Styela clava: one gene and its partner. The protein of the gene in region 2 binds, or shares a complex with, the protein of the main gene of each other region. Links are inferred from orthologs where the notes say so. Each region holds a gene or a part of one and is shown on either strand. Other genes may lie near its edges. The genes, in order: ADP-ribosylation factor-like protein 1 and uncharacterized protein LOC120335522.

Evidence for each region.
Region 1: the proteins of uncharacterized protein LOC120335522 (region 2) and ADP-ribosylation factor-like protein 1 are in contact, whole or in part, in a crystal structure (PDB 1UPT), measured with the Homo sapiens proteins. The link is inferred for Styela clava from reciprocal best matches to the Homo sapiens genes GOLGA4 and ARL1. Residues at the interface, in NP_002069.2 of Homo sapiens: Thr2173, Glu2174, Glu2176, Tyr2177, Lys2180, Val2181, Glu2184, Glu2190, Thr2193, Lys2196, Val2197, Thr2200, Val2201; in NP_001168.1 of Homo sapiens: Ile49, Gly50, Phe51, Gln64, Trp66, Ser73, Ile74, Pro76, Tyr77, Cys80, Tyr81, Ser83, Glu115.

The regions. Positions count from the first base shown.
Region 1 is NC_135258.1:11,550,208-11,566,011, forward strand, and holds ADP-ribosylation factor-like protein 1, read right to left. Parts: upstream 7,391-15,804; 5' UTR 7,318-7,390; coding exon 6,775-7,317; downstream 1-6,774. Other genes in the region: 10 kDa heat shock protein, mitochondrial-like, read right to left, coding at 331-639; 26S proteasome non-ATPase regulatory subunit 6-like, read left to right, coding at 1,694-1,841, 2,337-2,542, 3,020-3,165, 3,458-3,677, 3,935-4,043, 4,211-4,379, 4,887-5,061; RWD domain-containing protein 3-like, read right to left, coding at 5,527-6,324; retinol dehydrogenase 12-like, read left to right, coding at 15,168-15,356. UniProt on the Homo sapiens protein: GTP-binding protein that recruits several effectors, such as golgins, arfaptins and Arf-GEFs to the trans-Golgi network, and modulates their functions at the Golgi complex.
Region 2 is NC_135251.1:16,298,045-16,315,693, forward strand, and holds uncharacterized protein LOC120335522, read left to right. Parts: upstream 1-8,272; 5' UTR 8,273-8,321; coding exon 8,322-14,435; 3' UTR 14,436-15,313; downstream 15,314-17,649. Other genes in the region: uncharacterized protein LOC120335523, read left to right, coding at 724-1,844, 2,733-3,033; bifunctional peptidase and arginyl-hydroxylase JMJD5-like, read right to left, coding at 4,746-6,020; nudC domain-containing protein 2-like, read right to left, coding at 5,983-6,465. UniProt on the Homo sapiens protein: Involved in vesicular trafficking at the Golgi apparatus level. May play a role in delivery of transport vesicles containing GPI-linked proteins from the trans-Golgi network through its interaction with MACF1. Involved in endosome-to-Golgi trafficking.

The DNA of each region.
Region 1 (15,804 bases), on a different chromosome or scaffold from region 2:
TTACATGGCTTGCCAGTCTAAGTGAGCAAAATTTTTGGTCCCTGGCCCACGCCTGTTCTAGACTGTCATATGTGCATATAGAAGACTTATTTCTAAAATGATACAAAATTTGCAACCGGCATCGTTAACTGTTCCCCGCAACATCAAGAATTGGTAGAAAGATTTAATGACCACAGCGGCAGTATACACACAAATGTATCAGCGAATTACGATAATATATTACAATAGGTAATTATTCAAAAACACTGCTGCTCTGCCAGTTTTTTTGCAACGATGGTAGCTCCAGACATGATTGGAAAATTTCAGTTTTTGCATGGGTAATAGCAGTTTTCAACTCTCAAATTTACCTAGAATATCTCCATCACGGAATAAATGGTATTCATCGTCATCAAGCAAGACTTTTGTGCCACCATATTCTGGAAGTAAAACACTATCACCAACGTCAACGCTCATTGGAATAAGTTTGCCATCTTTGTCTTTCGTGCCTGGACCTTTTGCAACCACTTTAGCTTGTAAAACTTTGCCAACAGATTTTTCAGGGAGAACAATTCCTCCTTTTGTCGTTAACTCTGGTGCACTTCGTTCAACCAACACTCTGTCAAATAGCGGCAGAAATTTCTTGAAAGCTTTTGCTGCCATTTTTGATTTTCTGAAAGATAAACGATAAGATAAGAAGTGCTGTGAAACCATATTTTATTAGGAGTGCCGAATCCTAAGTGTTCAGCACGTACTTCTTGGTCTTTTTTCATCAAATTCCTCCCTTCGCTTTTTTGGAACTCCTCATTCCCCTCTTGCTATGTACAAAAAATACTTTATTTATTCAATCTTTAATGAATCCTAGCTAGTACTATGCACAAGTAGCACCCCGCTTTTGTGTAATTTTAAAATGTGTACTTAAATAAGTAGTCTATTATAGTGAAAATAAAGAACTAAAATTGTTTACAGTATTAGTAATACTATGGCAAATACAAAGCCTACCATGAAACATACGGACATAACAAGTGATAGTTGGGCTAGGGAAATTTCTTTCTGTGGCCAATTGGCATAGTGCATTAGTTTTAACACCGGTTGAATTCATAAAATGATAGAGATGTGATTGCACTAAGTTAGAAGATTCAGAGGTCGTACGGTAAGACTGTAAGAGCCCTGATGCAGTGCTAGATCAAGAAGTCCCACGCAAAATTGCAGATGTATGTTTTAGTAACGGTACTGCTATGCTCAAAATAAAATCACTCATAAAAAACTCACCTCAACGTTAAACGCGATGCGGCAGGTCAAACACAACTCAACAGAAGAGGCGAAGAAATTTCCCGAAGCAAAACCACGCTCGATTTTCACCAGGGTTGCAACATGCGTTTCTGAAATGAAAAATAAACAACTTATTGTGACACCTAGTAACATACTACAACGAGAAGTGAATACTTTTGGGAAAATAAGTTTCAATATGTATGTAAATATTAAAATAAATGAATAAAAATATTTTAAAAGTGTTTCTTGAATAAAATATTGTGGTTACAGACATTAACATTAATTCATATGACGTAATAAATCCATCAAAATATCGCTTAATCATATTATATGAATCAGCTCATTTCTTGAGTTAGTGTGTGTTCGTCTTATTTGATCTATCTGTAGCGTTTCAGTTCAATCCGTCTTTATTTAGTTTCAGCATTTTATACATTTACATCACATAATGCCGGTTGAAAATTTAGAAGAAGAAGGTCTGAAAAAGATTCCAGACTTGGAAGTCGCGCAGTTGAAGTTCTTATTAACGTCGGACGATGAGGAAATCCAGCAAACAAAAATTAAAAAACAATTTATGGAAGCGATCGAAGCAAATGGCAAGTTTTAGAAGTTATTTTGCTAAAATTAGGATGAATTCCTCAAATTGGTTTTTAAGAAGAATTGGTGTTTCTATCTGAATATTATTGCATTTTATTACAGTATTATTGTTCTCAAACTCATGAAAACTCATTTATGATTTTATTTAAGATTTGTTTTAAGTTTGAGAAAACATGACGATTATACAGTTTAAGATTGATTGAATAATATATGAACAATGTGTTCATGAGTCGTGACAAGTTTGTATTATTAATGTTTGTATTGTATCAATGACCATTATTTAATCGAAATTCATTCTTTTCAAACTTGACGTTGGCCGACTTTAACTTCTTGTTTACTATGGTGCCAACCTAAATGTAGAATTACCTCCTATTCTGAAATAACAGTTTATACAGACCCATCTTTTCCAACCAACCAATAATCATCAATATGCTTGAATGATAATAAATTAATATGCCACAAGATGTGTAATTTAGACGTTTTCTTTTTTACAGAGATGGCACCCTATTATGAAATTGTTTGCAAAGAACTTGGAATGAAAATTAACAATACACTTTTAAAGAAATTGAAGGATACAAATGAGAAGACATTAAAAAAACTTGAAGATAAAATAACAGAAACTGAAGAAATGGAATATGAAAGTGAAGTCAGAGATGCTTTACTTGCAAAGGCTGAATATTTGTGCAAAATTGGTAACAAGGTAACAACAATTCCCTAGAATGTTTATTCATAACAGTCGACTGGGGCTGTGGATTTTGGGATCATTTTTGCCCGACTCAATTGAAAAACAAATCAGACTCTCGATTCCGAGTTGAAGAAAGTTTAAATTTTGATTATAATAACTTTGTCACATGCAAGCCTTCCTTGTCAACTTTATTCATTTTGATTATATGTTTGAAATCTGCAATCCAGATTCTGAAATATTCAATTGGATTCCGGATTCCGGGGGGTTTGAAAATGCGACTCCAATGTCAATAAAAACATGCAAAGTCAGGACTCTCACTTCCAATTAAGGTTTAGAAATGAGCTGTTCATCAATTCAATATAGCTTCTAAATGTTCTAATATTAGTCTACAATTTCATGATTTTCAACAATATGTAATAGCACAGTAAAGACATGCTCGTAAAAATTAGTCTTAATTACATATATTTATGCCTTTCCTCAAATAACTTTCAGGATGACGCTCTCGAAGTTTTCCAGAAAGCATATGATAAGACCATTGCACTTGGACACAAGCTTGACATCATTTTCTACAGAATTCGACTGGGATTGTTTTTTATGGATCATGATCTGATTACCAAGAGCATAGAGAAGGCAAAAATGTATGAAATATATTTGTTGTGCATTTTAGTTTAGAATTAAGCCCTTTGTGGCATGCACTATTTGTCCTTAGGTGATATATAATTTGGATTTTCTCTCGAAACAAAGCCATGTACAAGTAGCAAGTATCTAGCGATTCTGCCTTCATTTTTTACATCCTGGATTGGTAGACAGTGTGACCAGGGTACAGATGTCAACATTTTCACACCACGATACATCAATTTATTTCTGTTTATGATAAGTGTTTGTGATAACGATTGTTAACGATCTATACCAACTTTTATTGTTTTTCAGTTTAATAGAGGAAGGTGGTGATTGGGATCGGCGAAACAGACTAAAAGTTTATGAAGGTTTGTATTGTATTGCGATTCGAGATTTCAAGAAATCAGCAAATTTGTTTCTGGATACTGTATCAACATTCACATCCTATGAACTTATGGATTACAAATGCTTTGTCACATATGCTGTTTACATCAGTATGCTTGCTCTTGATAGAACCGAGTTAAGAGAAAAAGTGAGTTCTATTTAATGCACAACTTTACTACATTTTTTTACTACACAATTCAGTGATGATTTATCATTATGCGAAACTTAACTACAATTTACTTCAGTACATATTAACAACATATATTGATAACTCAATTCAAGCCTATAGTTAGGACATTGGGCCAAGTGTTGATAAGAGTAATTACTAGCAATTGAACCATCGTTTACCCTATTTTTGCAGGTTATAATCATATAACTGAACTAACTTTTCAAACATCAATTCAGGTTGTAAAAGGTTCAGAAATCTTGGAAGTTTTGCATAGCAATAAGGAATGCAGAAGTTACCTGTTCTCATTGTATGATTGTCATTATGCAGAGTTTTTCCAGCGTCTAGGTATGACTTAGAACGTGGAAAATTTGAATTCTTAATAATTGTTTTTCATTGGGTAATATAATACTCTGTGTGATGTGATTTTGGAATAAGGATGTAAATGTCTTAAATTCATTTCATATTATCTTTTTATTAAAGAAGTGAAATTTATTTATTTTTGAATATTACAGCTCAAGTTGAGGTGGAAATGAAGAGAGATAGATTGCTGAATCCTCATTATAGATACTACACTCGTGAGATGAGAATACTTGCTTATACACAACTCCTTGAATCATATCGTAGTCTTACATTAGAATATATGGCTGAAGCATTTGGAGTTACTGTTGAATTCATTGATAGGTATGTTTACCTGAATCATTATATTAGCTATGGGGTGAACTTTGTACCATCAATGGGAAGCTACCAGATGTGGATATTGTTATTACTTTGCATACGAGAAAAATTTCTTCTTGATCTTCCATTTAGAAATTGGAATGTCGCTAACTAAGGGCTTAAGTACTTGAAAATTTTCAATCCTTGTCTGTCTGAATTGAGTCTTGGACTCTGCTTTTGATTCGAATACGAGCAACAGAAATGTGGACAATTTGCATTGCCTGATGAGTAAATGAATATCACTATCAATCGAGTATATCAGTTTAGTATGAATTGTATTCGGCATCTGAACTGCTAACTCCCATTCACGCAATTCACTTGTCCTTCCAAAAGAATATCTACATCTATATAGTCTCACGAGCCCTCTGATACTTTGCTCAGAGATCGGCGTCCTCTGTTTCCGAGTGAGTGTGACCTTGATACGATCAACCTAATTCTTGCAAATAAAAAAAAAATCTCATCTCGTTTACACAGGGAGTTGTCAAGATTCATAGCTGTTGGGAGACTGCATTGCAAAATTGATAAGGTCGGTGGGATCGTTGAGACCAACAGACCTGATAGCAAGAACTGGCAATATCAGGAGACAATAAAGAAAGGAGACTTGCTGCTAAACAGAGTTCAAAAACTATCAAGAGTCATCAATATCTAATTATACTCTTTATTTCGTATGATAGAAACAATTCTTGTGTCCATAATGTACCATGTTGTATATATAAAATTTCAAACAAATGTGCAGTGGTGGTAAAAATACACATTCTGTGAGTGGCAAATTCAGTGGAGATAATAAGAGAGCTATGCGGTAGCAGGCTAAAACAAGCCAATCCCTTAGATGAAAAAATGACGAGCCACCATTTACAATAAATACCAAACGGGTTCCTTAGAAATATAGTAAAAACAGCCAAAGCAAGTGTATGAACATTGTGAAACTAATATTGGATATTATACCCATAAGATTTTCAAAACAGATAAAATGTGGTTTTCTAGTATGTGACGAGAATAGAATACAGCAACAAATTTTAATGTGTAATGTGAACATAGCATGTGTTTGGCCTTATTTTTACAACCAATTAGCACATTCTATTGTTCACAGCCATGAATGAATTTAAATGAACTCTTACGCACGAGTAAGCAATGGTCTAAGTATGTCATACAACATGGACGTGAATCCTTCACTAAACAGGCTTTCCACCTCGTTTATTTCGGACAGTTCATGAACATGGAAGCCCTCAAATGGTACAAGGTCGTCTTCATAAGAATCTCTTAATAAAATAGTCATGAGCCGTTCTTTACAAGCATGACCAGCTGAATCAATATCAACTTTTTGAGTTCGCATCTTTTTTAAATATTCTTTAATATCATTCTTGTTACCGTACAAGATTATAAAAATGAGATGCTTGTAAAATAAAACAACACCCTGGACTTGTAATCGAGTTGCCCATTTTTGTAACGTTTTTAGATAATTGTTTTTTGAGCGCATATGATCAAGCTGTATCACACAAATTTCCTTCGTTTTATTCTTAGCAAGACTTCCTTCATCTCCGCAACCCTGAAGTCTATTCGAATTTACACCAGAAGCAAATTTTGCCACGTTATCTTTAATCCACAATATAAGGTCTAATAACATTTGACTGTTCAAAAGATTATTCTCTGTCGCAAACTTGGACATCTCGCTGTTCAGTCCAGAGGAAGATTCTCTTGTCAGCATTGGTGAATCAATTGTCACATGTGGCACAACTTCTGGATATTTGTGAGATATATAAAAAGTAATTCTGAGTTGTTGACAATTCTCCTCCGCGTGTGTCAAATTGAGTTTAAACGATTTAGATAAAGAGCTTTCCAGATCATTAGCTTCAAACTCTCCTTGCTGACAATAAATAGACTTCACGGCTTCAATTTCATCCAGAATGGACATAGTGGTATCGTAAAAATTTAAGATAGACTATTCACAAACAAATATATAATACAAATACATATATACAATACATCAGACTAAATATAAACAAATTCCAGGATCAAAAATGAAAATACATGACTATGCTAGCGAATTAACCAATTTCTTAAATTTTAGTCTGTTTTTTGGAATATTTCCATAACACAAATCATTTAAAAAAAGCTAGGCTAATTATGAGTGGCAATTTCATCATAATGGTTATTGATAGAATGTTTGGTTTTAAGAAAGCGCGGACCATGCATGAAGTTCAGTGAGGTTTATTTCCTGGAGAGCGTACAAACTATTGCTGTCTCTTTTCAGCTTGTATATTGGTCCGACTGTTGCGGATTGTGATCTAACTAGCACAGCATTAATTCATTAGCTTTTTATATAAGCTATTATATTGAAGAAAATTATATTAAATAGATATTCCTAATTTGATTGAAGTGTAGACACAAGCCATTCCATTGCTGTGTCTAGTCCAATATTTTTCAATGCGGATGTTTTGAAAATTTGCCATTTCCTATCTCTCAGTTTAGAAAGTCCGAGCTCTTGTGCAATCTCTGCTGGTGACATAGCTTGTTCACAGTCTTGTTTATTGGCAAATACTAACAGCAGTGATTTTTTCAATTCTTCTTCTTCCAGCATACTTATTAATTCTTGTTTTGATATGCCGATTCGTTCTCGATCAACGCTATCCACAACATATATTATAGCATCTGTGTTGCTGTAATAACATCTCCAATAGGGACGAATGCTGGTCTGACCGCCCAAATCCCAGACTTGAAATTTGAGATTCTTGTAAACAACTGTTTCTACATTGAAACCTATTGTAGGAATTGTTGTGACTACTTCTCCAACTTGTAACCTATATAGAATTGTAGTTTTCCCAGCACCATCCAAACCCAGGATAAGAATTCGACGCTCCTTTTGTCCAAACAGTGATGAAAATAATGAAGCAAACAGATTCCCCATGATATAATTGACTGTTTAATAAATTCCTTTATGACGCATATATATATATATATATTGAATTTATCTATGTAAAATGAATTCAAGGATTAAATATTATATTGATGTGCTCTCTTAATAAAATAAGTTGCCGATAGATACATGAATGCTCAAACATATGGAAACAATGGTATGAAATGGTGAAGTCCGAGAGCCCTCAACTTGATGAAACGATCGACAGGCGGTCCAGCAATACTGGATACAAAGTGTTCCCGTTTTATTAAAAAGAATCCAAAATTGGTATTCGAAACTTTAAACAGTTTAGATTATAAATACAAAAATACCCTTCCTAAATGCTGATATGATTACCTTCATATTTGTGTTATACCAGTGGTACCTAAAAATTGTACTTTCAGTGTTGTTAAAACTTAAAGCAACATTACCACAACGAAAAGCTAGAATCTGACAAAGGGTAACCAAGTAGGTCAGGGATGTCTGGTGGAAATTACTACAGTACTAGCGTGAATTTGCCACATGACTGTATCTGTATGAAAGGACTTAAACTGAATCTATGTCGTATCCAAGAAATTGCAGGCGTTTGTAACTTCAGAACTATAGACTATAACTGCAAGTATCATAACTAACGTTACAGTACTGAATACGAAATACTGAAAAACTGTAACCTCGGAACGTCTCAGTCAGCTGCAACGCAAGCAGAAACAGAAACCGTGGTGAAATTGCTTCAGTGTCGGTTAATCGAGCGTAACACAAGCCTTCCACGTCATGAGTACAGTTACGACAAATCCGTTTGCCAGTTGGCAAAGCGGCCTGCAGAATTCGGTAACAGGAAATAACCTTAATTAATATAATGGATTTTGCTGCTGGACGTAAAGATAGTACCGGTAACTAAATAGTAAACGTCAGCTTTCAACCGAATATAAGACATTTACATCATAAAACTCATATACTTATACTCAATTCACTGTCAGACCAGAGACAATGCATGTAAAATCTATGGTTAGACGTTGTCATCCATAGCATCGAATATGGCCCACGAAGATGATGGAGCCGCAAGTTGCACTGATAATGTGAAAACAAGCTCTTTAGTTTTGTTTCCAGCTTTTATTTGCAATTGCCGACAATAACTTCACACTTATTTTTCACTCGTGAGATAAAAGATCGCACTATCGTCTGCTTGAAAGGACTAGAGAATGCTACGCGCTGTATGTTTCGGTATTTGTATCGGGTAATATCAACATGAGCAAAGCCCATCCACCGGAATTAAAAAAAGTTTATGGATAAAAATTTGGATTCAAAGTTAAATGGTGGACGATCTGTTACGGATATATTGCTAGGTTTCGATCCTTTTATGAATCTAGTTGTGGATGATGGAACAGAGCGCAGAAAAGATGGGACCACTGCACCTGTTGGAATGGTGGTCGTTCGTGGAAATTCGATATCAATGTTGGAAGCATTGGAACGGATACAATGATTTTATATTGAACTATTCGAAAACGACAAGAGAACCCGATACACCAATCCATGATTTGTGCATAGACTGCTATGGAACATTCAATCTATTTACCGAGCTTGTTTTTTTTAGTACAATTTTTTGTCACTGTGTCATTTTTTTTGCAATGAAATTGAACTAGGCCTACAGCATCACCATTTTACGTCAGCGAGTGTTTTTAATTCCATAGTTTTGTAGGAAGAGCACTGTTGTGTTACACATACACGTTTCACATTTCAAATTTAATCTAAGAGTATTGCCCGATTTTATATCGTGTTTTTGTTTTATTGTGTTTTGACTGTTTTTGGTGGACGGGCACGTACTTGTACGTTTTTAACTTTTTTAATAAGTTATGCTCGTCCTCCAGGTCCTCTGTATTTTGTTTGTCCGTTTGTTGTTGGTTTGTGTTTTGTTTCTATCAGAGTGACCAAATAAAATTGATTGATTGACTATGTGTAAACAAAAGCAAGGGGATATCTGGTGAAAACTGCTGAAAATAACGACCCGTTAAATATTTTGCAAGCCCTGATAATTACAAACTATAGAGTCGTTTGTTGTATATTATCTCAGGGCTTCTCAAACTAGGGGCCGCGGCCCTGGAAGAGGCCGCGAAACGAATTCTAGGGGCCGCAAGGAGAACACCAATTTTACAAAGTACTAAATCTTTTGCACTTTTTCAGACTCTTGATTCAAAATACAGTTATTAAAAATAGTGTAAAACAATAATTTCGCGATTTCGAGTTAAGACATCTTCATACCATGTTTCCCCGAAAATAGGAAATTGTCTCCAATTTTCTTTCTATCGACTAAGACAGGGGTGGGCAACCGCTGGCCTTCGGCACGCGATCCCATTTATTCGACACGCGAGCGAGGCCTCGGAAAGGGGATAATTCTTCTTCAGATAAATAGTTTCAAGACGATGAATTATTTGATGAAACTAGGTGTTCATTTATTCATTCATCTTCTTCAGATAAATAGTTTCAAGACTCCGAATTATTTGATAAAACTAGGTGTTCATTTATTCATCATCGGTTGTCAACAATCCGTTATTCATTTGAACTCTTTTTGCCCTTTCATGAAATATGGCTACAAAGAAATAAATTATGACATAACAAATGAGAGAGCTTTCGCGAAATTTTGTCGAGAACGAGAAGAGCGCAGCGTTCATTTGGATACATTCTTACTATAACGGCTCAGCACCATACGATGGCGATGTGCTCGTTAGGGTGATTGGAATAAATAGATCGTACAGGCACTTTATATTTGATGACGCGGTTCTGTCTGAGTTCCTTTCAAAGTTCGAAACGATTGTCCAAAGATGTTTATTGTTGAGTCAAAATAGTAGTCAAATAATGATGAAATAGTTGTCAAACAGTAATCCGGTAAAATACAGTGCTATTACACAGGAGGGACCAATAATAACTATACGAAACAGGGAAATAGAATTATATGATGTAAATTTAACCTACGCCTAATTAATAATACCAAAAGCCCCCCGATTGATTAAGATACAAATTTATACGTCCTACCTCCAAGCGGCTCACGCCGAAAGAGATCCCGCCAACACCAAAATGGTCGGGGTTCAATGCCCTAAGTTACAGTTGCCAGTTTAGTTACAATAATAGCGGTCACCGTTTAGAATCATGGCTGCTACACTTACGTAATATAGTTTGTATGTACCACCCTTTTTCGTCCTTTCTGTTTGATTTATGAAGTTGTACAGCACATGTTGGTTATAGTTACTTGGTCACTTACTGTTATAAATTGATTTCAAGAGAAATATTGGCGATTAGGGAAGGGAATAGAATAGAGAAGTGCAAAAAACGAACTTGTGTGACTGGGATTTTTTCGTGTCTGAAAAACTTTGCAACTGCAATACTCCATGTTTTCATCTACATATGCTTGTGAATCTCTGTTCTTAGTTATGAACTTTATCAAGTCTCGTAACAGTTCGTGTATTTCTTTGAAAGTTAATAATTTTAACCCAATGTAAAATTTCTATCAGCGGTAATGCAGCAGCAGAAGTCTCACTGATATAGAATAAGAAAAGTAAACAAGTCTATTTGTCGGAATGGTATTTTCCCGAGTAGTCAATCGGTCTGTATATGTTTAAAAGGTGAATTAATGTGTATTTTTGCTTTGAAAGTAGCGAAGCATTGTTTTTAATTTTGGTCGGCACGCGGAAGAATTTTGTCGTTAAATTCAGCCGATTTTGGCACGCGAGCCGAAAAAGGTTGCCCACCCCTGAACTAGGACTTAGTGGTTCTCGAACTTCATTGTATTGTGACGCCCTCCAAAAATATGCTCAAGTTGCGACTTCCGCTGCCAAGGTTTAGAAATGAACTTGTCGAACATCGTGTGTCTTGACTGAAAAGCGATCCTACAATAACTTTTGCAGTATACGAAGGTTTTCTTTATCGCTGCATGAGTATAGTATGATAAATTTTATTCGCAACGATATAGCAGTTGCATCAGAATGTCCAATTTTTCCAATATATACTGAAGTTTGAGCGGTCATGTAACATTTATGGTTTGGGAATAGATAATACATTGATACTAGACATTTTTTGTGAAATTTTCAACACTTATATACGGCTAAAAAATAAGGGAGGTTTTGGATCTGAATTGTATGATTTGAATAAAACTTAAATAAATGATGAAACATTTACTCCGGGTACACTTACATAATCGAATTAACAAATTAAATCGGACATGAAAAATACAAATTTTTGCGACGATTTTTAAGAATTCGTCGAAATAACCGATCTTATGGGCAGCGGCGTTTTTTTGGATGTGTGCGTGCAGTTATCTATATATTCAGTACTCGTTCGTTTTTTTCGCAAGACGTTATTACCGATCAATCGATTGCGAGCTATTTTGACGATTTTAGTCGATCGCGGTCGAAAACAGGTTGGACACCCGACCGCCCATGAACTATAAACCAACAAACAAAATCTAACAACAGTCAGTGAAATCAAACGTAATGAGCCATGGTAGAGAATCCTGCTTACATAAATGCGAAATTGCAAAGGGGATAGTTTGCGAAACGCGTTTTTGAACCAAGGAAAAATCATATTTATCTACAGAAAACCGAATTTTCAGAATTGAACTTATTTATTATAACACATTTAAGAAACGTTTCGACGCCCTAACAGAATTCAAACTAAATGCAGGCTACTTAATATCTTATTTCAAATGCATGAACGTGAAATTTAGCTTTTATTCATTTCATATTTATTTATTCACACATTTCCAGAGCGAAGATTACAAAGGGGTTATAGTCCGGCAGAATCGGGCCTTAACATTGTTTTGGGACATGATATTTTTTTTATTGTTTGGATAAATATATATTTATGATATTTAAATTAAATATAGATATATATATATATATGTCGATGACATAAATAATGATACCCAGGTGGGTGTGGAGTATATAATGTTGAGCAATTTTTTCTAAGTGGATTTTAAGTATTCGTACCAAGATGATGCACATCCTGAAACCTAACCTGGACACGTACAATGTTCAGTTTGTGCGCCATCCTGGTACGAATACTTCGGGAGCACCTTTTTGTTAAAAACAATTATTTCATTACTACATGGGTTAGTTTTGAATATATAATAACATTGAATCTTCTTACAATGTCAGAAATTTTAGTAGAATAAATGGTAGTTTATTTCACTAATATAAGCCAAGATCCATCGCCAGCATCTAGCCACTTTCTTTTGCGCTCTTCAAACTACATTTGTGTTGCCGCGGGCATTTCGTTTTCCTGCTTAAAGCTTAGGGACGTGGAAAATATTTTATTAGTTGAAATGAATTGGAATTATCGACCACGTCTTTCACTCCGAACAAGGCCATGTAAAACCGTTAACTGGTATCTAACGATAGGTAACGTGTTTTCTTTTGGAAGAACCGGAATCTTTCAGGTGCAGCATTGACTTTGGCCAAATTAATATATCCTTGTGGAGATAGAAGGTATGCGTATGCAAAACCGAGATGTGCACCTGTTATGCCAACATAATTGTTGATCACTATAGTAGATCACACACATTTCCTGCGTGCTTCGGTTGTATGTAGTAACGCGCACATTTTTGCGAACATGCATCAAATTCCACTTGTTTATTGAGCTATAGGTTTTTGACGAGCCTTTGTGTATGATTTTATTCCATATAATTTGTATGCTGTTCTAAAAAATACTAGTTTCAGTTTTTTCATTCATTCAAACCGCGTGTTGGAAGAAAGTTTGGTATTATTGCGTGTTGGTTTTCAACTGGTTTGTTTATATCTATCATTTGACATCCTTAAATCGGTGAAGCCAGTAAATCTTTAATACAAAAAGATCAGTATTATCTACAATAAAAACAGCAGTACCCACTCAAATGACAGCTGGGGGATGGATACTCATATTATCTGCTCCATCGCGTGCCTCTTACCAGTTTACATGGGTGCTAAGTGGTATCTAAGCTCAGCCAGAGACAAAAAGTTTCGGACTGCGGTTGGCGTGACGAAACGTTTTTGAATATATATTCTAAAATAAGATTATTTGATTGCATATTACTGAAAGTTACGCCTTATATGTCTTTTCCCATTGCACTATTCCTTTACTGATATTCGATAATATGACGCTCATCTGACATAGTTTTTGTGTAGTAATGTGTAGATAGGTTTAATCTTTTTCACGCTTTTCAGATGGGAATGCACGAATATATCTAAAAATCGCTAATATTGGTTTGCAATGCAATGAAATCCCATTCTGGCATTTCTGCCTCTCGCAATTGCTGCGTATATTTATCGGAGAAGTTCTGTGGTGTGGTTATTAAAGGAATAAAACAAAAGAAAGGGAGTATTTTTCTACTTCTCTACTACTCTCAAACCTTAACATTTTGTGAACAATTTTTTCCCTTTACCTTTCTTTAAAACATCCCTAACAACTACAATTAATTTTCTCATCAAACTTCCGAAACGAACACATAAAATCATCAACAGATGCATATCGTCAAGTCCTAATAAGTAGATTGCTAAATTGATCTTTATTTTACCATTTTTCATGTAATGCTTTTTGGTAAACCTGTTATCTATCGTATATACAGCACATTTGAATATGTTGTAGTGTAACTTTTTTGGCCTCACATTTTTAATATATATTTGTAGTTAGATCTCTTGCATGGGGCTCTGTCAAACAAAGTTACATACAAAATATTGGCTGTAAGAAACATGATCATTTTGTTGGAATACCTTGGCATTTTACCACCCGTATATCATTCGTTGTCGAGAATATCAATGAAATCATAAAATCTAAAACCCGTTTTTGTGAATTTTTTGTTGTAGCTGAATTCGAGGGACAGCATGACAACAGGCAAGAGAAGCACGGTCGACTCTTTTAGTTTATAGGGTTTCCTAAAAGGGGATCCCGGCCTCCTTGGAGGCCACTGATCGGTTGTCTAGGAGCACGGAAAAACAGATAAAAATGCGAATATATAATAACAATGTATTTTTATAGAAGAGAAGAATCAAAAGTGTTGAGAGTCTTTGGTAGTTTGAAAAGCATTGGCATGGAACAAAAGAATACATTCTTTCTCAGGGATATACTATAAAATGTAGCAATTTTCTCATTTTTGTTCTCGTGATTGCATTACCTTTTAATGCATCGTTGTGATCATCCCGCTGCATAACAATCCTTGCTAGCAAATAATTGACTGTTCTCCGCCGGGTGTATATCCACTTGAACCACTGCCGACTGCATTAGCGGGCTTGTATTGTTAATTGCAACATGCTTTGAAATAGTACTCTTTATTTTACGCGTATGTTTCAACAGTATTTCCATATATATGGGTGCGACTCAAAGCTGAGTTCAAAAAATACCTAAAAGTTATTGATTTTCATTTTCTGGTACATTTGTTGCTTCCGTAGTTTGTGCACCAAGATGGCGCACAAACTGTATTGCAACAGGTTAGGGTTCAGGTTGTGCGCCATTATGGTGCACCGATTTAACGAAAAACACTAATACAAATATGCAAACTCATGTAGAAATGATGGGCAATGACCCCAAGATGAATAATCACAAATAAAAAAAAACTTTATGTCTGGAAACAAGGTTGCACCCAAAAAGGCCCCTTATCTGCCGGACTATAATTACTTTTGAATTTAAAGACCAAAATTATTTCAAATTCACTATTCTAGAACTGAAAATGCATTGCAAAGCTTGGTTATGTGGAGAGTAAACATTTAAAGAAATATATTTGCTTTCACCTGAGATCAACAAACATATTCTAGTATGGAGAAACTATCACTCAATATGCTAACCTTACTTGCTGTGTCATTTTAATGCATTGCTTTTGCGCTGCGAACTCGTGTGCAGTCACGATGGCACAAACTAAAATTGTAAGAAAAGGATGGGTGACAAAAGAATTGGAAATCGAAGGAAAAACGGTTTTAATCACCGGTGCTAACACGGGCATCGGGTTCAGTACAGCACTTAATCTTGCAAAACGTAAAGCAAAAGTTATAATTGCTTGCAGAAATTTAGAAAAAGCAGAATCAGCCAGGCAAAAAGTGAGTCTTGCTTTGTTTGTTTTAATTTCCAATCATGCTTCTCTTTGGTATTTTGACTATCCTACGCTGTTTGTGAGAATTTTATTTTTCCCGCCTTATATTGGTGACGTTTGCCGACGAGATTCACAAAGCCACACACTAGGACTAAAACAACCAATAATATATATATATATATATATCACGAAATGTAAGCCCGATAAACTAAATGCAGGCTAATTTTAAGTTTTCAATACCTTTGTAGCGGTTTTTACATGTATATACATGTCCATCCACAAAACGCTGTTTTGCCAACAAAGTGACATATATACGAGTATGTGGTTACAAAAACCATAATTCTTGGAAAATATTGTGATATATACTGACAAGCTTTTCAAGCTTGAATCAAAATAGATAAGTTCAGTTTTATAGCACCCTAGGTAAAGATAAATTAGAAAATTATAACTGTTGG
Region 2 (17,649 bases):
GGTTTTGTACAATTATGAATGTAGGTGTAAATCGGTCTTTCATAAATATGTAAATCTTATCCTAACTGCAGAACTGTGCCATACCGTACTGTTATAGCATTCTTATTAAATATATTGCATTGAATAATTTATATTTATCCTTAAATCAAAACTATATCAATAAATTCACTGGATTATTTATAACATAGGTATTATTCTCAACAATGCTTTGAGAGGAACTGCTATTATCTCCCTGTTCCTTTTGATTTGTTATTCATATTCTGTGGTGTTATTATGGTTCTTAATATAATTTATTGCTTCAATGTTATCAGCAGTCTTCTAAACGTGTTATGGAAGCAATTTGTTTCTTATTCATTCATGAAATAATACTTTAAATACGTATAGATGGAATTCGTTATTAAACAAATTCAGAAATTGTGCAAAATTCATATGGGAAAAAGTTGTTCCAGTAATGAAGTTAGAGAATAATAGTTTGTGCCCTTTAACATTGAACGATCAAGGATACAGAATAAGTAATACTTAAATAAAAGTGGTTTCCATCTCACCTGCCTAAGTAGATACGAATCTGTTAAATGCAAAGAAGAATTGGACACTACTGTGAAATATTAGTTTAAACCAAATGGCTGCTCACTTTTACCTGTGTTATTAAGTTTTTTTAACCAATTGATACCCATTGTGTTTTTAGCCATGTAAGTAACAAGTAAATTTTATTCATATCTGAACATGACATCAAGTTCCGAGTCCTCACCTGATGATACACCTCGTCCATCAAAGTTTGAAGACTTTGATTTTTTCGATTCTGACAAAGATGTAGGAGATGAGAAAAAAGTATCTAATACATCAAAATGGAGCGCAAAAACAGTAAATTCTTCTGAAAGAAATCTGCATGATGAACTTCATGGCAGTGGCATGAAGAATGATCAACTTGGTATGGGTGACCTGCATAAAAGTTATGATTTATCTGAATCTGAACATAAAACAAGTAAAACTTATACTTCAAGTACAAAGGTACAGATCAAACAAATTTCTCAAACGACTACCAATTCTAAACGAAAACCTAAAGAACAGTTAACCGTCCATGTTCCAGTTCAAGCGTCAATGAATAAGTATAATTCCTCGTCGAGTGACGACGATTCCTCAGGTTCTGTGACAGATGTTTCTCCCTTGCCATCACCAGATATTACACCGAGACCACGTACAATTCCCCATGATGAAGAAAGTTCACCAAACAAAAGAAACAAAATGAAAAAAGAAACTAAAACGAAATTCACAATTAAAGAAAGTGGTATTGAAGATGGGGAACGTCCTCATGCTCGTCGCGCGAATGGAGAAACTTTATCTGTTGAAGATATTTTTTATTCTAGTGACGGCACCCCTTTAAGCAGTGGTGAAAGAGATACTCAAGCCATAAGAAGAAAACGAGTTCAGCGTAAAAAAAGGAGTCGCTATGAGGAAATTCAACAAAGGATGGAGGCGTCATCTCGTCATCATCGGAGGAGATTATTAGATGTCGCAGCAGAAAATTCTATGGATTTAAGTCAATTACTGGAAGTGGTTTTAGAGATGGAGCAAGAAGAGAAAGCCAGGAGGATGTATCAAAGCCACAAAGCATCTAAAAGTGTTTTACCTCCCCCTTTGAAACCATCTCATAGAAAAAACATGTCCTTCTCCAATCAACAAGTTCGTGATATCGACTATGAAAATCAAAGATTGCTTCAGCGTTTAGCCCAACTTAACACTCGACAACGGCCATCTAGTGCTTCTAGTGTGAGATCATCTGCATCTTCTTATAGAAGTAATGCAAGCACAAGTAGAAGCAACAGAAGACCAGCAACAGCAAGGAGGTGGGTATGAGAAACGATCCATATGATATGGATCTTTCATTGTAATTTAAAGTATTTGTATTAAGCCAACACTGCGGAATATATCTACTTTTTGGGGTTATAAAACTTGGGATGGGTGTATCACCTTAACTCATGCCATGTACTCGAAAGAAATTGGATAGTCACCGAATTTGAAAAATTTTGGTATTCCCTGATACCCTAAATTGCAGTAACCACCGCTATTGCAGGACCTTGCTTGAAGCAAGGTGTTGGAGCACTCCATGAAGAATAATACCGTCATTATGCATTTCCAATCAGAGATAACCAAAACTGAATATTTACTATGATGAATACACTGTAAAGTATCATAGTATTTCTGAATAATTTCACTAAAGAACTCATAGAAGTCCATGTAAATTAAACAGTGATTTGATTGGTTCACTTTTTTTTTAGTTTTCTAAAATTAAATGAGGGCAATTTTGGTCATAACTTTGAGATTTTGAATTTAATTATATTAGAATATTTCTGCGGTATCGATATCAGCATTTCTGAGAGTCCGATATATTACGAGTGTTTTAAATTGATCGAAAATCAATTCAATTGGCGCCCGAATTACGGTGATTTGATATAACATTGAAAGGCATCCTCAAATGTCTTTTTTAAAAAATCATTTGCTACTGATGCCTTGAATTATTATGAACTAAATATTGTATATAAAGCCTCGTAATCTGACAAATATTATTTTATATATTCATTTGCGGCAGTATAACTCTCTATTGAACGTTCTATTTGAGCAAGTTTGTATCAGCAAACTATCTTACGATTGGATAATTCAATATCTGTATGATTTTTTTTTTTTTATATAATTTTTTTTGCAATATGTACCTAATACAAATCATGCATTAACAGACCATCCCCGGCACAAGGACCAAGGGTATATCACTCAGCTACAAACAGGATTCGTGACCAACAAAGGATTGAAAGAGAGAACCTGACAATTCTGAAAAGACTGCAATCAACAAAAGCAACTGGCATTCTCAAAAGGGAAAATTTATTACGGGATTATGAGAGACAAACTGGTAGACCGGTTGAACCGGGACGACAGCGCAGAAGACCGAGATCTGGTCAAACAAGACAAGGGGATTATGAAAATGGGTCTATGCAATTTTCGCAAAGGAAGGCAAAACCAGTTTGGCAAGATTCTTGGTGAACATTAACTGTTAATCTTGTTGAATCGAGCTTTTAAATAGGTATATGTCTAGTAATATGGAAGTTCCCAATTTCTTACAAATCAAATTACTGGTGTTATCATCTCCCGTTTAATGATCATGATAGATATTATCATTTTGTATTTTTAACATGCTGTTTTTAAATGGCCTCGTAAACAAACCCTCTCCCAAATGTGAAAAATTTGCTAGAATCAGATTACCTGACAAGCATGTGGTGTACAGACAAGAGGATAATAATGTCATTCAAATATATTATGTATAATTTTAAATAAAGAGCATCTTTCACTTAGTTGATAATACCAATTCAAAATCATAGGCAGCGATAAGTTTTATCATTTTTTTTGTATAATCAATTGAAAAGTCTTTTTTATTCCAATATTAGAGTAGAATAATAAACTCTGTTTTCCATTTTTTCACATTTTAATTGCTTTCGCATTGCATTTTTGTTTCTTCCAACTTTTATTTCGGTAACATGCAACACCAAATTAAATGACAAGAAAATGGAATTTTCTATTCGATGGATTGATATGTGTTTGACAATAGTTAAAAGTGATCTATTTACCTAGCAAAATGTTTTTATACCAATGCACTATGACTATATGAATCTGAATATCTACAAAAATGCTACCGGAACAATATGAAAAATTCATGACTACATTTTTTCTATCCTTAATTTTACAAAATTCTATTCAGGCATTCCCCATTATACTGAGAGATATTTGGAGCTTTATAATGTTCATAATTTTGGCAGATTCATTGAAATTTTCGAAGCCACCACCAGATAAGGAGTTTACATCCCTGAGAGCTGTAAATAATTTTCTGCATGCACTGTGTAATGGAGCAAAAGTAATATATTTTATTTGTTATAGTGATCTTCATAAACTAGTTGTTTAAATAAAACAAAATCACAGATTGTGAATAGTGGTTATCTCTTCTGCAAAGGAATTAGAATGGTATGATAATTGCTAAGGTTACGACTTCTTCTTCATTTATAAACAGGCTTGTAGTGCGTTAGAGGTAGCCTCGTCATGACGTTTTTGCTGGTATTTCACTGCAAACTGTTTTCTTAAATGTTTTCTTAAAGAAGTATATGCCAAGTCCACGGGTCTCGGTATCCTGAATCTCCTTGTTACATATTCACAGGCAACTAAATAGTACAATTGTTGAGATTATATTTATTAGTAGTTCAACATGTATGATAAAATAGGCACAATGTATTGTTAAAAAGGTGGCATATTGTTAAAGGAAAACTGCATTCATCACTCTATAAAACCAGACAGTAACTACTGACAAGAAAGAACAATAACACAATTTGACGGGAAATTCTATCATTCATTAGTATTCAACACGTTCAGTATCCATATGAAGTCTCAGACGAATTTGAAAGTCAAATTGATATCGTTGACCTTGCATATATTGATTTTTTTTAAATTGGTACATTACATGCGGTGCTTCAAAATGGCCACTGCTACCTGTGACAGGTAAATGTTGCTACATATACCATTGAATCTGTGTGCAAAATAATTCATAATATTTTGTTTGTGCTAGATATGCCTTTGTTAATTTGGAAAATGAATATAAATATTCAAGCCAAATTGACATAATGGGTGTAGGAGTGATGCCACTAAACCCCAGTCAGAATCCAGAAGCATAATATTCAATATAATCTACAAACAAGTTTTATTTATAAACATTAATTCCACCAGAAACTTACAGAAAAGCTTTTATCTAGCGATCTAACATAATGCCAGTAACCAGGAGGTATATAAAGCATCTGGCCAGGCAGTAAAATACATTCTTCCCTATGATTACGATCCATTTCAGTAAAAAGTGGAAAATTTGTATCATCTGGCTTTTCAACATCAACTTTTGATGTGTTGTTTAACATTCCCTCATGGGGGTAGAGAGCATTCTCATGTGAAGGATGATATAACCGTACATATTTACGTCCCGCAACTTGACATAACAGATTGTGTTTTTTGTCATAATGACATGGTGAAACAGTGCCACCAGGTCCAAACCAAGCATTTATTTCGGTATCAGTATCAGGGTCCCAATCTGGCATTTTTGAAATACAGCAATAATCTGGAATACATATGTCATTTCTAAGCAGTGGGATTTGATCAAAAAGTGTATGTTGTGCTAAATACGCTTTTGATGTACAATCATCATTAAATATATATTTTTGAATGAAATTTGAAATAGTCATTAATTTTTGACCCCAACTTTCATCAGTGTATTTAGCACCAAGTTCTACAGGTACAAGTCGGTGTCCTGCAATATTGTTAAGATACTGAAAATTCCATTTAGCCATAGCAGGCCAATGATCAATGCAATCGCTAAGCACCATGGGAAGAGCATGGTTCATAAAATCTTGGAAAGAAATTAAAGATGGATTTGATAAGACTTTTATTGGATTATGTACTTCTGGATCTAGTTCATAATTTTCAGTGTTTTGGGTCTCAATATATTTCGGTTGGGCAGGTTTAAAAATTTTAATAATTTTGTGTAATATACCATTCATTACATTATGGCCCATTAGCAAGCCCATGTCAGAGACTCTACAAATTTCTATCAAATCGTCATCTGTTGTGGCATTATAGCCCAAACACGAAGCTTTGAAGACACAAGCAAATGAATATAGTTTTTGCCACACAAGCGGGACATTTTTCCAATGAAAAGAATTCAACTTTTCCCATGTTAAGTCTAGTATCATTTCTGCATTGTCAAGACATTTTTCAATATTGTTTTCATATAATAATGTGCAACATTCTTTTAAAATGAATAATGAGACATTGTCAATCTTATTGCAACATACATGGAGACATTGTACTATTGTATGCTCCATTTCTGAGTCTGTGCTAGGTAATGTTTGCTTAAGTTCAGATTTGCGAGTAGTAAAATGTAGTATTGCTTTCGGAGATTCAAGGTTAATACTCTTTTCTGAGGTCAAGAGTTGGTCCACCATCTTCATAATTCCCTGTGATCTCAGCGTTACTGAAATCGAATCCTGGATTTTCGAGTTCAAATCTTTCGAGAGTCAAATTTTTTTGCATTTGATCTTTCGTTAAAGGGTCTACAGCAAATTCTCCACCCTCAAATAATGATGGCCAAAAACAATTTTCTTTCTTGCGACTGCGTTTCACAAGCAATATTCGGATTAATTTTTGATCTTCCACACTCCAAGTTGATTCGTCCACCAATATTCCTTGCGGTAGGGGGCTGTTAAATAATTCCTTCCCCCTCACAACGCAAGATAAATGCTGGGGTTCAATCACCACATTTACTTCTTTCCCCCTTGTCCCTTTCTCAACATCAACAACAACAACCACGTCCTGCACAGTTTGATACCAATTACCCCAGGGAGTCTTGCAACATGCAACACCGCTTCTTTCGTCGAAATCGCTATTCATTTCAAAATGTAACTCCAAGTAAACGGAAAATTCTACGAGAATAAACCGCTCAACTAGTAGCAATCGCAACCATGTAACAAATGCTTTTCACCGAATAGGCTATGATGAACTTATGCTAAAATCATGGTTAATTAACCATGCTAAAATCAATCCTCCACACAAGAGTTCCAGTGGTGGATAAGATTCTATGCGGAACGTCACCAATCTTCCGTAATTAGTGGGCAAGAATTTCCATTTTTCTAAATGTATTTTACAATCTGAGATTTCATTTTTCTTGTATTAACAATTGTGTAAATATATTTTTTGGCTACTACACGTTTTCTTGGATTGCATGATGTAACTACGGTATTTATTTCCGCTCAATCAATGACTATTACATGCTACTGAAAATTTGCATCGTAATTTCACTGCGACGTGTTAATGTTATCGTCATCTTGAATGTGTTATAAGTTAGATCTAGGCTATATGATATCTCGTTTTCTCTGTTTTACTGAAATTGTTTTCGATTTATATTTAGTCTACTGGGTACCGGTAAGCTGGCAAGGGCGACAGGTTCGCCATATGGTTAAGCCGTCTTATCGACTTTCCTCTTCCCGGGATAAATATGCAAATCTGCTCAGTTCAGCAGTTGGATGGCATTTTAGATTCATATGATAGGCGCTCCATAGTTATGTAATGTACGGTAACTATATAATATAAGTAGGCCTACTGTTGTCATGAATCTCATAATTTACTGTGATAAATATTTTTTCAACGTGCAATAGTGAAATAGATGGACAGATTTGACAATTTTTGATACTCCAAACTCCAAAGTTTACTCTTTGTGCAGTCAATAATTTATTGCTAGAATAGAAATGGTTTCTGGATTATCGTAATTTAGTTCTGTAGTTTTGTTCCATCTTTGTCAAAAGTTCGTTAATAGGCTAATTCATATCTGCTTTAATTTATATATGTCTATTCCTGTACTGTTGTAGAAATATTTTTGTATAGAGTTGCAATGCAGTTCTAATTAGTTCTCATTTAAATCCTTGTCCGAATTTATGTTTATATCTCATAAAAGCGCCATGTGTACTCTTCTTTTTCTTCAATCAAATTAACTTAATAAATAAATTATATTACTGTTGTATCGTTACCTCCCAGTCATACTGTGAACTTTTGTTCCACTTATTTTGTTATTGAAATTTTTTATATTATGTGTTTTGTTTGACGAAATAATAAATTCTCTCTTTTTTTATCACTGACTTATACTCCTGTGCTTACTCATCTGTAATTATTTACAGACTTTTTGATCCACAGACGTTTCGCCCCCTCAGACCATTCCAATCACTAGATGGCATATGGCGATTTGAGTTATGACTTTGACATGGCAGTTTTTTTAAATTATATTAAATAAACACTCAAATATTTTAAGATTTAAGTGATTAAGGATATTTATCCACCACATTAGTGCCATATATGGGCAACCTGTGGCTTCTGTACAACCTTAACCCTGTAACCCCCTACCCATGCCCAAATTTCCTATGAATCCACATGTATTTTTAGGCAACTCCAATGCCAATGTATTATTAACAAAAAGATTAACTCAAACTGTCTTATTTGGCAGAAAAGTCTGTTGGGTGAAAAGTCTGTTTATCCCCTCACATATAATCACCTCCCATGGGATTTGAACCTGTTCAGGGTAATCAGAGATGCGATGGCTTACCATGATGCACCGACTGCCGAGCTGATTCTATTTTAATCCTAGTGGATAGGCAGATTTTGCATATGTTAACTATTGCATCGGGAAATCCTCAAGTCCTACAATTAATTACAACTGATTTCCCAAATTAATATTTGCAGATAATTTGGTTGTAATCATGTTTAAAAACTTGAAACAGAAAGTATCTACTGATCAAAAAGTTCGAACTCCACAGTCTGCCAATCGGGGTGATGCTTCAAGCACACCCACTGGTCGTACTGGAACATCTAGATTGCCACGACCATCCAATTCAGCGCCACCCAGGCGATCCAATTCTGAGAGTTTGAATGGTGCCAATGGTGCAGCTACTAAACAAAATAATGAATCCATGGAATCACCAGATATTGTACAACAGGTGGGAAATATATCAGGTGATGTTTCTCCCAATCCTTCAAATCATGGAGAAACGGATCAAGCACAAAAAAGTGCTCAGATAGCTACTGAAGCTGAGAAAAAAGTTCCATTTTTCAAGAGACTAGAATTTTTGACTCCTCTTAAAGATCAAGTTGCAAATAAACTTTCGGAAAGTAAGGAATCAATCAGTTCTCTCGTTGACGAAGTTCGTGGCAATGTAACAGGTTCTTCCAATGAACGATCTAAACCGGATATTGTTGCACAAACTAACGATCGTCGGCGAAGTGATTCCATTTCAGATACAGAAGAAATATCAATGAATCGGAATGCTATTGATGTAAGTGCAATTCCCAAAGAACAACTATTTGCAAAAGTAATGAGACTGGAGAAAACTCTTCTTAAATATAGAGAAAGATATGCAGAACTTGCTTCTAATTTTCGTGAGGCGAAACAAGAAAGAGAAAAGTTGCAATCAGTTATGCAACAGACCCAAGATAAAAATCTACGCAGAATTCAGGAACTCAAAGAAGCCGCAGCGTTGGATTTGAAAGCCAAAATGCATCTCGAAGAGGAGTTTCGAGTTTCTCTGGAAGAAAAAGATCAAATGATACAAGTGCTTCATACTCAAGTTGCAATTCTTAAAGATGATCCGCAGAAGTCTCCACCACCAGTACAAACTGAAACTGCTCAAGGCCAGGGAGATGATTCAAAGCTTCAAAAAAGGGTCAAAACCTTAGAAGAACAACTCAAATTTGCTAAAGATACTTGTGAAGGTCTAAGAAGCCAAGGTGATGCTTTACAAGAACAACTTAGTGAGCGATTAGAAGAATTAGAAAACCTGAAAGATTCGAACGTTGCGGAAAAGTCGAAACTTATCAAACAATTGCGTGAAGCAAAAAACGTTATTGAGAAAATTGAAGAGGACAAAGTCACTGCTGTTGCAGAGGCCAAACGACAAATGCATGAGATTCTTGAAGGTAAAGATATCGAAGTAGAATCCTTACATCAACAAGTCAAGAAACTGCAAATTGATCTTGATGAATTTAAAATGAAGAAAGAGCAACGGGAAAATTCTTTGTTGGAGGAACTTCAAAAGGCAGTTACTATTGGTAGAACAGCAGAAGCTCAAAGAGCTGATGCTTTATTGAAAACTGAAACTATACAGAAAGAAATGGAAGGCAGAATTACAAAGATTGAAGAAGAATTTGATGCGGAAAGAAAAACTTATGTTTCTGAGGTTTCACATGCAAAAGCTGATAATCTTGATATTAATGAGAAACTTGAAAATGTAATGAAAAAACACAAAAGTGATTTAGAGGCTCATACAAAAATGCATGAAGTTGCATTGCAAGAACAAGCAAAGAAATATAAACTGGAATTGGATGAAAAAGAGAATCAAATGAGATTAGCAATTGAGGAGAGAGAGCTGAATAAAATGGCTGCAGTCTCACAACAAGACACTGAAGCTCAGAATTTGTTGAAACAACTAGATACAGAGTTGGAGAATGTTCGTCAAAAAGTGGAAGAGCTTGAAAAGGCAAGAGTGGATGAGGCCAACAAACATGAAGAGGAAATTACCATTCTAAAAGACAATTTTCAAAAGGCGAGTGAAGAACATAAATTCGAACTTGACAGCCTTAAAAAATATCATGATGATCATATGACTTCGAAGGCTCAAGAGTTTTTAGAAAAATTCACAAATCAAAAGAAAAAGTTTGAAAACAAACTTCAAACAAAAGAATTGACATGGACTGAAAAGTTAGCAGAAGCTGAGAAATCATACTTACAAGAAGTTGACGATTTGAAAACACAAGTAAATGAACAAGGTAAAGAGAGGAACGAACTTTTTCAGCAACAAGCAGAGAAGGTTTCCCAACTCGAAAAAGAAGTCACTCTGTTGAATTGTGATAGGGAAGCCTTAAGTATCAAATTTTCGCAAATAGAATCTAAACTTTTTGAAAGAGATACACAATTGAAGGATTCTTTAAACGAATTAGAAGAAATCAAAAACAGTGCAACTAAAGAAAAAGAAGATTTGAATTCGAATATTGAAGCAAAAGATAACATAATTAAAGAACTAAACAGTAAAATGGAAAACTTGCAGCAGGACTTTTCACAGAAAGAACAAGAAAGCTTACAGCAGAATGAAGTTTCTCATGGAGAACTTGAAACGTTGCAGGAAAATCTGAAAAATTTACAATCTCAGAAACAGGAACTTGAACAAGCTTGCAATGCTGCTGAAGAGAAATTGAAACAAAGAGAACAGACAATGAAAAAACATGTCTTGGATATGGAGGAAAGCCATAAATCTGCAATCGGTGATTTATCATCACAGTTAGATAAAGAAAAACAGGAATCTGTGGTGAAAATTGCTACTTTAGAAAAAGAGAAATTGGATCTTCAGAAATTACAAGAAGAAACAAATAAGAAATTTCTTGAAGCTGGTGGAAGATTAAAAGCACTTGCCCAAAAATTTAAAGCCACTGTTAAAGAAAACCAGACGACTGTGACAGAGAAAGAATCTATGATTGAGAAGTCTAAAACGGAATTAAATGAAATCAAAATAAAATTAGAACAACTGGAAGGACAAAATAGAAAAATGGTTGAAAATCATGAAATGCGATTGAAAACAATGGAGTCTGAATGGGAAAACAAACTGAAAAATGAATTAGAAGGCTTGAAGGAGAAATCTGAAAAAGAATATGATGCGTTAAAAGAATCAATGATAAACACTCACAATCAAGATTTAGAATCATTGAGGAATAGTTTGAACAATGCTTTTGATGAGAACAAAAGTCATTTAGTGGAAGAATTAACGAACAAATTCAATACTGAAAAGCAAGAATTATTAACTGAACAGAGGAAGAAACTTGACACTGAAATGAGGAATTTAGAGATGAGGCTGCAAAGCGAAACATCTGATGCCACTGACAAAGAAAAATCTCTTCTACAGTCCCTTCAAGAATGCCATGAAAAAATTACTGATCTCGAAAACGAGCAATCACAAAAATGTAAAGAACTTTCTGAAGCCCATGAGAATTTGGCATGTCTCCAAGCAGATTATAAAACAAGTACTGAAAAGTTTCAGAGTAATGAGATTGAAGTAACGAATCTAAAACAGAAAGTAGATGCTGCTGAAGCTGAGCTTTCCCAATTTAGAAAGTTAAACTCTGATAAAGAATCTCAAGTTGAACAATTGATGAAGGATCTTGATATATCTAATGATAACTTAACTCAGTTACAAAGTGAAATAAAAAATCTTCAACAGCAATTAGAAGACAAATCTAATGAAGAAAAGAAAGTTGCTACTGAATTGGATGCCAAGATTTCAGAATTTAATAAACTGACGGAAAATTTCAGTGCTCAGTCTATTCAGTTAAAAGAAGTTCATGCCAAAATTTCAGAAAATGACAAGTTTTTAGAAAGCTTAAAATCAGAAAATAAAGTACATTCAGGTAAATTTGAAGCTCTGACGAAAGAGCATGCTGCTGCTTTGGAAAAGCAGAATAGTGATTGGCAAACAAAATATACTGAATTGAAATCTAAAGCCGAACAAAAAATAGCACAACAACACTCTCATCTCAAAAATGCCAAAGCTGAATTAACATCACAGCTAGAAACAATCCACAAACTTGGTGAGGAAAAGGCCTCTGCTGAAAAAAATATTCAACACCTTACTGACAGTGCAAAGCTTGTACAAGAAAATTTAACCCTTTTGGAACAAAAGCTTCAAGAGACTGAAAGTAAACTTATTGAACAGCAAAAATTTTCTGAGAAAGTTAAAAAGGATGCAGAAATTGCAGAACATTCGAAAAAAGACATTGTGGATGATTTGCAACTACAAATAAAAAACATTATGGAATCTTCTAAAAAACAAAGTCGAAATTATGATGAAATGATCAAGAAATTGGAAGAGGATGTAAATGAAAAGAATGAAAAAATTATGGAATTTGAAAAAGAAATTGAAAGTTTGAATTTGAAGCTTTCGGATGTCAATTCTTCATTTGATGGTTCACAAGTTCAGTTGAAGGAGAGAGATTCAACAATTTCTGATTTAAATGAAAAGCTGGAAAACATGAAATTAGAAATTGAAACTAAAACTGAAGACCTTGAAAACTGGAAAAAAGAAAAATTGGAAAACGATTCTTCAATGAAACTAACGCAAGCGGAAAACAACGAAATGGCAAAATCTTTAGAAAAAGTCAAAAAAGAACTTGCAGAAAAGGATGCCATTGTTGTTGAGAAAACAATACACTTGGAAAAAGAATCTAAAGAACAACTAGAAGCTCAAACTACGAAATTAAACCAAGAACATCAAAAGAAAATGGCAGATTTGAAAAAGAAAGCTGAAGTTAGACTCGCTCAAATTAAAAATACTTTTACTTCCCAATTAGAAGAAAAACTGAAATTAATTTCTCAGTTAGAAGATGACAAGAGTTCTTTGGAAGAGCAAATGGTGCAAGCCTTAGAAGAAGCTAATAAAACCAAAGAAACTGCTATTACTGAGAACAAAACATTGTTGACTGAATTTGAAAGCTTGAAAAACCAATTTGAACAATTACAAAGTGAAAAACAAGAAATGCTTTCGGCATGGGAAAAAGAAAAATTGGAAATTGAAGCTAGAATCAAAGAGGAATCTGATAAAAATATTGTCAATATGATGGAGGAAGAAAAATTAAAGTACGAGGATGAACAAGCTCAACTTGCCGAAGTGAAAGATCGACTTGAACAAGTACTTCAAGAGGCAAAGCTAAAATTGCAAGAAACAGAAAAGAAAATGGATGAAGAAAAAGATCGATCGGAAATGGCACTACAGGAAGAAAAAGAAAGGAGATTGCAGAGTGAAACACAATTGTTGGTAGCAAAAGAAGATTTTGCAAACGAAATAGAGAATTTGAAAAATAAACAAAACTTATCAGATGCTAAAATTCTTTCCCTTGAAGAAAGTTTAAAGAATATGCAAGAGACTATTGACAGCACGGAAAGAGAAAATTTGAATATGATATCAGCTCTTGAAGCCCAATTAGATGCTGCTAGAAAAAGAAGTGAAAAGTTGGAGAATGATAGAGAAACTGTAAAGCAAAATTTAAATGATACAATTGAAGATTATGAGAGGAAAATGCAGTCATTACGAGATGAAATCAGTTCATCGCAAAAACAAATGGAGGTTTTGTCTAAAACTTCAGTTGAAGATAAAGATGTGGAAGTTGAAAGAAAATTAGGAAACTTAAAAGAGGATTTTGAAAGAAGGTTGCGAGAGAAAGATGAAGAAACAACAAAGAAGATCAAGAAAATGATGACTGAATATGAAACGCAAATTCAGAAAAATAACGAGAGTTTCGACTCAAAACTTGAAAAAATGAAGAAAAAAAATTTATCATTTGAAGATTCAGTGCGATCTGATCATCACAAGGAACTAGTTTTTCTGCAAAGAGAAATTCAAGGAAAAGAAGAGAAAATGGAAGAAGTTGTCGAAAAGTACGAGTCAGAAATGCATGAAATGGAAAAAAATATGTCCGAACAAGTTGATAAAGCCATGTATCGTGCTATGACTGCTGAAAAAAAATTACAAAGTGCAGACATGGAGCAAGAAAATGAAAATTTGAAAAAACAACTAGCGGAAGTGAATAAAATTCTTGCTGATACGCAACAGAGGGAACGCGAAAATGAAATGATGCTTCAGTCGTTCCAAGCGAGAGTGTCACTTGCCACACCTCTCGCCGATCCAGATAAACTTGAATATCTAAGGAGGATTTTGTATGAATATATTATGGGAAATGAATGTGGGACTATGGCAAAAGTTTTAATACTTCTACTGCAATTTAATGAACTTGAATCACAACAAATTCTCGAAAAACATGGCTTAGCACAGAAATAACGCTATAGATTGGGGTACAAGACTTTAAGAATTTTCGTGAATGTGTCTCACTGTTTTTATCATATAATATATATACCGTACATCATATATGTTTTTTTTTTTGATACATTCAGGTATGGACCACCAACTATTTTATCACAAAATTTATTTACTTTGTGAAATAAATCGCATTCATTGAACAAAATTGTCTTTGCTAAAATATGTGTTTATAAATTGAAAGCAAGTCTATAATATTATTCGAAAATTCTAAAACTGATTATATCTCTCATTAGTTTTATAGTTTAATGAAACATGTTTCAATTCTATTCTGCGATATACCTATACGGTGCTATTTAGGTTGCTTGGTAGAAAGTATTGTTTTGGTACATCTACCATATTGTTTGGTATATTGCATTTTCACACTTGTGCTCATGTTATTCTTTTCATACCTGAATTTGGATTTCTTGTTATATTGATTTGTTATTCCATAAGCATTATTAATATGTGTGATGTTCATGTCCCATGATATTTCATTTGCTAAGTGCAATATTCGGAAATTATAAGCACAGTTGGTTGCTTTTATTTTAGATTTAAAGCAATTTTCAATGATTCATTCTTGTAGCAAGTTACGGTAGCTTTGGAGATGCTAGCCTAATTTATTATTCTTATTTTGAGTCTTTATAACAGGGGTCATTCATTTTGATGTTTCAAACAAAGACGCTTTGGGAATATATTTATATGCCAGCTGGGGTTTCGATTTTCTTGTATTTCTAAAGATGCATAAATTGGAATTGTTTTACTGTGTGAAAATTATGAATATGTTTGAGTACTATTCAAATATTGCTCCTAATTTCTGTTTAGTTAAGAATTTCTCATGAATTTGAGAACCGGTTTTTTTCTATATAAAAAAAAATTAATCATATTTTAAAAGATACTGTTTCCACATGCCTTAACTTAAACCTATTTTTAAGTGGCTTTGTAACTCGTCTATAGATGCTATATAAAGGGTGCTTTAAAAAACAGAACCCAGATCGTTTGCAACTTGCTCTAGAGCAGTGGTTTTCAAACTCTTTGAGGCCGCGCCCCCTTTTCAGAATTTGTCAAGTCTCGTGCCCCATCTCAAAAATATAACTAGCTAAGAAGGCTACAAATAACAAATAGTAAGGCAAAATTTTATTCGAAAAACATGTTGAAAATACATAGATGGAACGTAAATAGTTGAATAAATGGAAAGTTTTAAAAAACAAATAAGGCGCGCAAGATCAAATCTATCAATTATTTTTAATTAGCTTCACGCCCCCTCGAAAAATTGTTTACCTCCCCCTTGTGGGGCGCGCCTCACCACTTGAGAACCACTGTTCTACAGAGAACATAACTTTGTGCAAAGCATCTTAGAGTGTTCAAGAAATTTATGAGTTGTTTTGTACTCATTGTATTTTCGTCAAAAATGCAGTATTGCCCAATCCCTTGGCATAGTCTTCATTACTGAGAAAATGTGCAAATTTAGTTGAAAATTTCACTGGAAATTCCCTAATTTGACATATTGTTGGATTTTATCTTTGGTATTGTAAAATATTTATAACATAGCATTGATCAATAGAAATACACAAGATTATACTCTTGTGTTTTATTCAAGTGGGATTAAAACAGATAATGTTTCAATACGTTTTGAAGCCACTTCACAGGTTTTTACAACCACACGCTTGTTTTGTTATTATCTGAGTATTTAAACAAATGCTTCATGTTATATTATATACCGTATCTAATATACAGGGTTTTCATAAAGTCTGAAAAATTTTGAAATTTAATAGGGAATTCATCAATACCATATATAGTTTGTATTGGTAAAAAACTCAAACCCTGATTAAAATCAAACAAACCTTGTTAAGATATATTCCATAACAAAATTGTAATTGGACTTTATGAACACCCTATATATTCAAACAAGATTTCCAATTGCCAGTAAAACGGAAAACTTATCCTTGTCCTACTTCTATTCCCATGCACAGCCAGAACTGGTAAACTGACGAGAAGGACATGAATTCAACCGTACTTTTGTGCCAATCCGTCCATTAAATTTTATAAATTTACCATTGCCTTTTTTAGTAATAGTGCTTTAGTGTATTCGCGTTTCGTTAATATATCAGTTTTTGTTGGTCTGCTCATTATAGATCGTGAATTCAGAAAAAATTTTAATCAATTGTAATTAAAACCTTATTCAATACTGCATTGCTGAAAGTGTGATTTTTCATGAAATTTATTTTTCATATCTTTAAAAAAGTTGTGTTGTATAGTTTTTTCATGCACAGCTTACTGAATTTATTGCACGTTTGAGGAAAGTGTTGGAAGTGAGACTTGAACCTGGTATCTCTAACCTGTATCGCCAACTTGGTTATGTCTGTAATTCCAATATAGTAGGCCATCAGTGTTTGTGCAATTTCACGCTATATATTTGTTTTATCATTTTATCAACATACATATTGTATAAATTGTACATAAATAATTTTTCCATATATGTTATGTTGTAGTACCATCCGTACTACTAACATCTGGAAATATAGTTTATATTCAAGACTTCTGCTTTATAATTTGAATTTTTTTTAAACCTTGAATGTCACGTTAGATCATGTTACTATTTTTCGTACTGTCTGTTGAATATATTTAGTAGCTAGAGATTTCAAATTTTTTCTAGTATATACCCAATAGTTTGAATGTTAGCTATTCTAAATGCAAGTTTTATAGATTGGTCCAGAGATTCCCAAACTTTTCAAACTTCATACATTTACTTTCTATATTACATGTTTTTCTATATGACATGTTGGAAGTAATATTTGACATTTCAATTTTGACGAGGAGGATTTTCATAATATATGCACATTGAATCAATGCGATATATGGGGTTGTTTTTGTACATATAAACAATCGCAAGTTTAGGAAATTTTTTAGAAAATGATTTTATATTTCGACTCACACTCAAAATTATGTCACACTACTGTGTGACACACAGTTTGGGAACCACTGGCATAATCCAAGCAGTTGGTTATGTATTTAGTAAACACATTCATTTTCTGTTTTCATTTTCTGTCTATATTCTTTGCATATATTTGAGATTTGCATTGTTTGGAATTTTCAATCTAAATTTTGAATTTAGCATTTGTCCTCTAGTATAATATCTGTCATCTCTATCTTTTGCTGTACTGAAATTTCATTTCAAATCATGATCTAACGATTATGT